2 linked regions of the Oryzias latipes genome follow. The protein of the gene in region 2 binds, or shares a complex with, the protein of the main gene of each other region. Links are inferred from orthologs where the notes say so. Each region holds a gene or a part of one and is shown on either strand. Other genes may lie near its edges.

Region 1 (4,173 bases), on a different chromosome or scaffold from region 2:
GAACAGCCAAAGGGAAATGTGATCCCCTTCAACCACCTTTCTGAGACCTTTGTCATTCATTCATTTAAAAAGTAAAATCCAGCTTGGCAGTGTAGAGTTCCCAGAGTAAATGTCATCTGCACTTTCACTTCTCACAAACACAATCTTTTACATATTCATTTATGACTTTTTCTATTTTGCAGTCTGAATTGTATTTGCCTTCTCTGGTTTGGTTTTTGGGAATCGTACTCCACAGAATGCCTGATAAAGAAAAGTGAAAATAAAATCTCAACCGCTATGCGCTTGTATTTACTTCTGAGTGCAGAAAACAGAGGCAGAATTTGTTGAGTTAAATTGACCCCTGCCTGGTAATAAGTATAAATAGTGCTTGTCAAATTTTGACAAGACTTTGATGATGAAAAAGATTTTGGTTTATGTTTTAAAGTCAATAATTTTCAAAAGAATAGTGATAGTGCTGCCAGCGGTAGTGATCTTTTTTTTTTTTCCTTTTGATTTATTTTATTTTAAATTTAAAGAGGTCACGGTAAGCTTTATTTTTATTAAATTGTTAAATCCCAAAACACTAGTATTTCCTTCCTCATATTTAATCTTTGCGAGGACTATAATAGGATTCAGACTGCTCAATCATTCTCTGCTTTCAGTGGTAAAATTATTTTGACAGCTAATATGATTATTGTTGTTATTATTGTTAATTTTAGGTGGCTCACTTTCTAAAGAAGTTGTAAAGCTGAGTGTAATTTTCTTTTTAAGTTTCTTATTTTTTAAAAAGGATTTACAGTAGAACTCTGTATACGGCTGCATTAATGGCTCTTTCTCTCCACTCATGATCGTATATGATAAAATGTTATGAAAGTTGATATTTGTTTCCTGACTTTTTTTATGGTCTGATGATTTTACTGGATAGTAAAAAAATTACATTAAGATTAAAAGGTCATTAAAAAAAGGTGGGATCTAGTCCTAAATGGAAAAACTGTTGCCTATCTTTGATATGAAAGTTAAACAAAACATACAAAAGAAAAATAGGAATATGTTTAAAGTATTTTATCTCTCTTGATAAACCTAGGTAAGTTTGGTCTTTTGATTTTAGAAGTACGTGGCTGTTAGTATAAAAAAAAGGTTATATATATAGTCTGTAAATATAGAGAAAGTTATTAAAAAATGGGGGCATTGGAATGTCCTTATTACAAAATATAGGCTAACTTAAATTTAAAAATATGAGTGCAACATTTTTATTTTACAATTAATACTGTTTTTAAATTCTGTAGTTCAAAATGTGACTTCTGAAATCCACTTAAGCTAGATTTAGAAGATCTAAAAGTGTTGGTCTGAATTTAAACTCCACATTGAAACGCAAATTCCCATGATGCAAATGGGGCAGCCGTGTCTTTTAACCGGAAGTAGAACTCTTTCCCCCGGTCCTAAAACCTCTGTTTATATTCGCGGCCGAAAGTTTTGCCGGATAAAAGCAAAAAGGTAGATATTACAAAAGGCGACACAGTCTGGTTCTTAAAAACGGCAACATTAACGATAAAAGTAAGCATCTTTTCTGAAATAAATTAGCTGTTAGCAAGCATTAAAATAATATAGTATAAACTCCGTCGCGCACTTATTTGTTTAGCTGGTGTGGCTAACTTTAGCTAACAATTGGGTCTTTTTGCACACAGATATACGCATGTTTGTCTTGGACGTATCTTACTTATCACAAACATTCATGTTAAATTTTGCTGCTAGATTAGCGGGTTTATTATTTTTAAAGATTTTGCCGTCTTATCCTTGTTCAGGCTAGCATCACGCAGTACTTGTTTAAATTAAGCTAGGTCATGGCTCGGTATAAACCCTTCCAAAACAGATTAAAAGGTTTATTTAGTTCAATTTTCAGTAAAATTACTTGAGTCTTTTTAGCCCACTTATACTAAACCTCTGAACTTTAAAACAGCTGGCCCCTCCGTTACCAGTGACCATGCCTGCCTTGTTGGAGAGACCGAAACTGTCCAACGCGATGGCCAGAGCCCTCCACAAGCACATCATGAGGGAGAGGGAGCGCAAAAGACAAGGTCAGTGTCATCAAATGAAAAGGAGAAGTAAGTTAACCGAACAGAAATAATCATTCTTCTTTGATTTTCTAGGAGATTTCATTTAAGGCCCACTCCAATCAAATCTTGATCTGTTTTAAAAGCGTTCCCAGTGGCCAGTTTATTATGATTCTGCCGGTTTTAGGCTAAATCAAAAAGTCTGTATCGTTTTCTAGGACGTAGTTTTTGCAGAACAACAGTACCTCACATGGATTTTTTTTGCCTCCAAGTGGAGGCCTCATAATGGAGCAGAGCAGGCTGCTTGTGGCTTGCTGTTGGGTCTATGTCAAAACTGTGAGCTTTTTACAATGACGTTTTTACATCTACTCCTGATTCACAATGATTTGAATAAAAAAAAAATTATATATCTCCTCTATCATGAAAAAAAAAGGCCACAAGAACATGTTTAAAATACCAAACATATAATTTTCATTGGAGTGGGTCTCTAAAATCTGTCTCTGACCTTCTTGACAATTATCATTACAAGTAACTTTATCATGTTTCAGATGTGTGAAAGTGTTACAGGTGATGCTAAATCTTGTCCCTGTAACCTTTCAGAGGAAGAGGAGGTGGATAAAATGATGGAGCAAAAGCTGAAGGAGGAGGAGGAGAGGAAAAGAACCAAAGAAATAGAGGAAAGGATGTCATTAGAGGAAACCAAAGAACAGGTGAGCACCTGCCATCAAAGATGACCCTTATTTTAGGATTTTTAACTGACTCTTTAGTTCTTCCTTTTAATGACATTTCTCCCCTGATGTCAGGTGATGAAAATGGGAGAAAAACTTCAGGGACTTCAAGAAGAAAAGCATCAGCTGTTTCTGCAACTCAAAAAGGTTCTCCATGAGGAGGAGAAGAGGCGCAGAAAGGAGCAGAGGTATTTTCATTCAACAGTTGTTTAGTCCACGAATGATGCCTCTTGTAATTTTGCGCCTCCTTCTGTTATCAGTGATATAACAACGCTGACATCTGCCAGTTACCAACAGAGCCTGCCCATGCACACAGGACAGCACCTCCTTAATATTCAAGGTGAGCTACTAAACCATGAATACACATTTCATAAAAAGGTTGTATGTTTTGTTAGCTAATTTCAGCACTAAGATCATTTTGTTTGTTTATTTATTTCTTTTTTTGAGGGTAGGTAGTCCAGTGAGCCACAGTCGAGCTGGAGCACTACTTGGAGAAAGAAACAAACAGTTGTACACAACAACCGTGATCCCTGTAAGTACAAGTGGGCTGTTAAAAAAACGTCTTGTTAAGTTCTTTACTTAGTTCTGTTGTTTGGAAAAGCCTGGGCCAAGCTGCTTTGCTTTACTTCGGTTCTAACCCGAGTAATGCCTACAAAACCTGCGTATAGCCACTTTGCATATAACCAAAAATAATAAAGTGGACTATTATGAACATTTTATTCTCTAAATCAAAAAAAATGTATCAAGCTAAAACAAAACCACCTCCACAGAACAAAACTGTTTAAGAACAAGGAAGGAGGATATTCTTTAAACAACCTTGTGTACGGACAGCCCAAAAAAGTCAACATTTCTGTCTGTGAAAATGAGTAAAAATGATAAACACAATGGAGAAAAAAGTGCAACCTGAACATTTTGGAAATGTATAAATTAGAAAAGGAGAAATGTGATGTTTGGTTCCTAGATGCTTTTATTTATTTTTTCCCCTTCAGTTATTTTATGTTTTTAATTTTTATTAGTAAAAATGTATGTATTAAATATAGTAAGATTGGTGGTGGGAATTAATAAGATTTTCCTTGTACCCACTCCTTTTTCGAGCACTTCTATTTATCATGTTTATAGCTATTTTATTTTGAAAATAAAAGTAAGTTAATGGAAGGTTCACCGCTGAAACTCTGTTTTTAACAACTTTTTGTCAGAGTCTAAAGCCCTACCTAAATTCCAAACCAGCTTTTTAATACAGAAAATATATTTTTAAAGTGTTTATCCCACTGTGTATGAAAAATAATTTTTTTTGGTGGCCTAGCAACTACACAAAACATTTTTTTTTGTGGAAAATGTCAATCAAATGTTGTCAATCAAGTCACTCTTTTTCCCAGGTTTTCTCACTTCCTCTGGCTTATCTCTAGGGACGGCAT
Region 2 (3,512 bases):
TCGATGGCGTGCCGATCACACGCAGCGTCCAGGACAACAACTTCTGTGCGGTCAACCCTCGTTTCCTGGCCGTCATCACTGAATGTGGCGGAGGGGGGGCCTTCCTAGTGTTCTCGCTGCATCATGTGAGTATCTGCGTCCCGTGCAAGACACACTGCCAAACCCTTTTTTGGACAGTTTTTTTTAAAGACATACTCGTGTGGAGTTTGTTTCTGACGTGTTCAAAGAACACTTTTAGCAGCTCATGTTGTCCACAGAGGCAAGCGTATCATTACGGAGCTGCCAGCAGGTCAGACGGGTTACAGATTTATGTTCCTCCATCAGACAGAAATGCTGTTCCATGAACGCTGCCACACTGATTATTAAAATAAATGACATTTCCTCTGAGCTTTAAAAGTCACTGGAATAATTGTTAGGTATTCTCTTCGTGGCCTTGCACAATGTTCTCAAATTTTATGATTCCAAACCCACTAGTTTGTCTGGTTATTCGGTCGCTTTACCTGGTTGTGGGTTTTTATGGTCCGCTTTGTTTTTCACAATACTTCCTTCTTAATTTAAACAAAAATTTTGCCCTCGCCACAAACTCAAAAACTCACTGAAATGTGCAAGTCCCAAATGCTCAATGAAAAAGAATTTTTAGTGAACAACCCCACACCCCCCACCCCACCCCACCTCCACCCCCGAACCCCCAAGAAAGAAAAGAAAGTATGACATCACATTGGGCAAAACTGTCAAAATAATGAACGGCGCTAATATTTCTTGGAGCTAAAAAAAAAAACCAATTCACAATTCACTTCTGAAACTGAAACACGCTTGTCCAAAGGAAGTTTTAAAATAATTATGGGATGAACACAAGATCTACAGCTGGCAGCCATTTTGTGGCAGTGTCAGATTTGGTGATTTTCACATTTTTACTTGATTTGAGAAAAGGAAACTTTTCCCAAATTTCACACAGGCCACCATCTTGAATTTTCAAAAGAAAAAGTACCAGCTACAGATTTAAACTCCTCCTAGAATTGCAAAAACAGCAAAATTATAAAATGTATGATCTTAGTCGGGGTGGGATTATATAAGGTCGGTTCTTCCCTCTCCTTTTTAAGCAATAAATTTACTGTAAATCAAGATCTCCTGGACTTCAGCTATTGATCACTATATTTTATTAAGCAAATGTGACTTAAGTGTGTCTTTATTTGTTTTATTTTTTTTTTATCTGTGCTTTTCATGATTTCTGTAATGAGTTTAATAAATCTGTGTGAATTTTTTATTGTATTGACTTCAATTAATGCTTGAAATCAATCAATCAATTTATCAAAATCAATCAAAATCAATCAATCTATTGCCTCCTGCCTCCCAGAGCATCATTGGGAAGCTAATTTTGAAAAAATGTTGGAATTAGAAGTTAACAATTTTAAACAGCATTATCGTGGCGAACTTGGAAAAGTGGCGTTTCTCTGTTGTTCGCACAATTTTTATCAAAATATTGTGAAATGTAACACGTCGTCTTTGACTCAAGCTGAACCTACAATATGAAATTATTAGAAATGTGGGTGGAGTTGAAAAAAAAAAACACTCTCGTTTCCATGAAATCCAAAAATGTACTTTTGCAGATTCTCCTAAAAATGGATAGCTGTCCGTCACCCTTAGCGACAAAAAAAGAAAATGGTTGCTATGGAGATAAAACCAACAGAAAGGCTGCCATTTTGAAAAAAGTAGTTTTTTTTAAAATCATAAATGTGTCAAGTAAAGCGCTGAACAGGGTGGCAGGGGCAGGGCAGATGGGGAGAGTGAGGGGCATGTAGCAGCCACTCAGTAAGTGAGGTCAGATAAATGTTAACATGTAACAACTTTATGAGAAAACCTTGACATGAATTTTAGGACACCTGCAGACCTAAGAAGAGGAACAGGGGTGTACCTGTAATTTATTTTATTTTCTACATTGAATTAATCCTAATACCACTTTTTTTTTTAACCTGAATTAGCAAACCGATTAGAAAACTTTTTGGTTTTTCACTGGATCCAGCGCTGGTCGCCTTGGTGGGAAAAACACAGCAGTTCGGGTGGAGCTGCTGCTTTTTGACGAAGGAGATGGAGTTGAGTTTGCAAGTTTGGGCACAGCTCCTATTTTGTGGAAATGCTCACTCATCAAGTCTGATTTTTCAGGGAACGGTGATAGCCAGCAGGCAGCACCTGATGGATTTATGTGAATGAAAACAAATCGTGGCTCACTTTCAATTTCTCTTTCTGCTCTACATCGTTCGATCGGTTAGAAAACGATAAGAGCTGCTAAAGGGAGTGAAGTTAAAGGCACCTCATAGTATGACGGCGCGCTTGTTTTTTGGCTGGAGCTTCCAACACTATAAAGCAATCTGATGCCACCACTACAGTTTAGGTGTCTGCCAAAATCCAAAGTTCCTCTGTAGACAGAAATCCTATATTTTTTTAAAGACCCTCTCCTTTTTGGTGTTTTTAACATGTTCTTGTGGTGTTTTTTTCATGATGAAGGGCATATTTAAAAAAAATTACGCTCAAAGGTATCAATTTAGATCAGGGGCAGACGAAAAACTGATCGGAGTGGGAGGTTTTGGTTTCTCTGCCTGAAGTCAAACTCTAGGATAATAAAAGACCTGCGTCTGAGCAAATCTTTCCTTTTCTATTGTTCTTCTTTGTTTCTCTTACTTTTTGTGCATTGTTCCCTTTTGTCTTCCTCACCACCAGGATTCAACAGCAGCTCTTTCATCCAAGCCATCCCATCTACTGTTCCCATCAACAGTGAACTTGTTCGCTTCATTTAAAAGGATTTATCAATCTCAAACACTTCTCAGTGCTTTGCCTCCTTGCTGTTCGTGCCCCCCCCCCTCTCTGGCATGCTCACAAAGCGTATAGGAGCTTAGGAATGACATAACTCATGGTTTGAAGCCCCCCCCTGCTCTTTTTTTTGTCTCGGGGAGGTGGAACTTTGGCGCTCCTGCTCCTCTTCTTGACCACCTTTGTGTGGACACAAATATGCTGTTGCTCCCTGCTGAGGGGAGGTGTCGCTCATGACCAGAGCAGAACGTCTTCTTCTTTCTGCTTGTTCTGGATTCTGTGGGTCTGCAGGTGTGTGCCTGTGTGTCAGGTTGTGTTCGTCTGTAATTAGTCATCTCATTGGGGCAGAAAATCCCAACTGACTCTTCCCTTGTTATAGGACGATCAAATGTGGGGTATTTGTCATAAGTATTTTGTGTAATTCTGCTTTCAGTTGGAATGGTTTGATGTTAATGTCATGGTCTGGTGCACTGCAAGCAAGATGGAAGCGCATGCCCGGGCCTGCAAATACCAGCACATCCTCTTTAGTCAGTCACATTCCTTCATCCTCTCCCAACTGGAGCTGCTCTTAGAATGTTTCTTATTTTTAAAAAAGCGTCACAAATCTCCTCTAATGTTTGAGTGGAAATCAATAGTTCGTTCAAAGTACAATGTGGCCCCACAAAGATTCTGATAAATGTCCTAGGGAGATGTTATTTAAGTGAGTA

The links.
Region 1: coro2a (region 2) and gps2 share a complex: the UniProt entries of both Homo sapiens proteins name them as parts of the N-Cor repressor complex. The link is inferred for Oryzias latipes from reciprocal best matches to the Homo sapiens genes CORO2A and GPS2.

What each region holds. Positions count from the first base shown.
Region 1 is NC_019876.2:14,446,374-14,450,546, forward strand, and holds the start of gps2 (G protein pathway suppressor 2), read left to right. Parts: upstream 1-1,366; 5' UTR 1,367-1,473; exon of another isoform or gene 1,474-1,533; intron 1,534-1,936; 5' UTR 1,937-1,960; coding exon 1,961-2,081; intron 2,082-2,630; coding exon 2,631-2,740; intron 2,741-2,833; coding exon 2,834-2,946; intron 2,947-3,018; coding exon 3,019-3,098; intron 3,099-3,210; coding exon 3,211-3,290; intron 3,291-4,164; coding exon 4,165-4,173. Other genes in the region: gabarap (gamma-aminobutyric acid receptor-associated protein), read left to right, coding at 1-22. UniProt on the Homo sapiens protein: Key regulator of inflammation, lipid metabolism and mitochondrion homeostasis that acts by inhibiting the activity of the ubiquitin-conjugating enzyme UBE2N/Ubc13, thereby inhibiting 'Lys-63'-linked ubiquitination.
Region 2 is NC_019859.2:16,876,790-16,880,301, forward strand, and holds part of coro2a (coronin-2A), read left to right. Parts: coding exon 1-125; intron 126-3,512.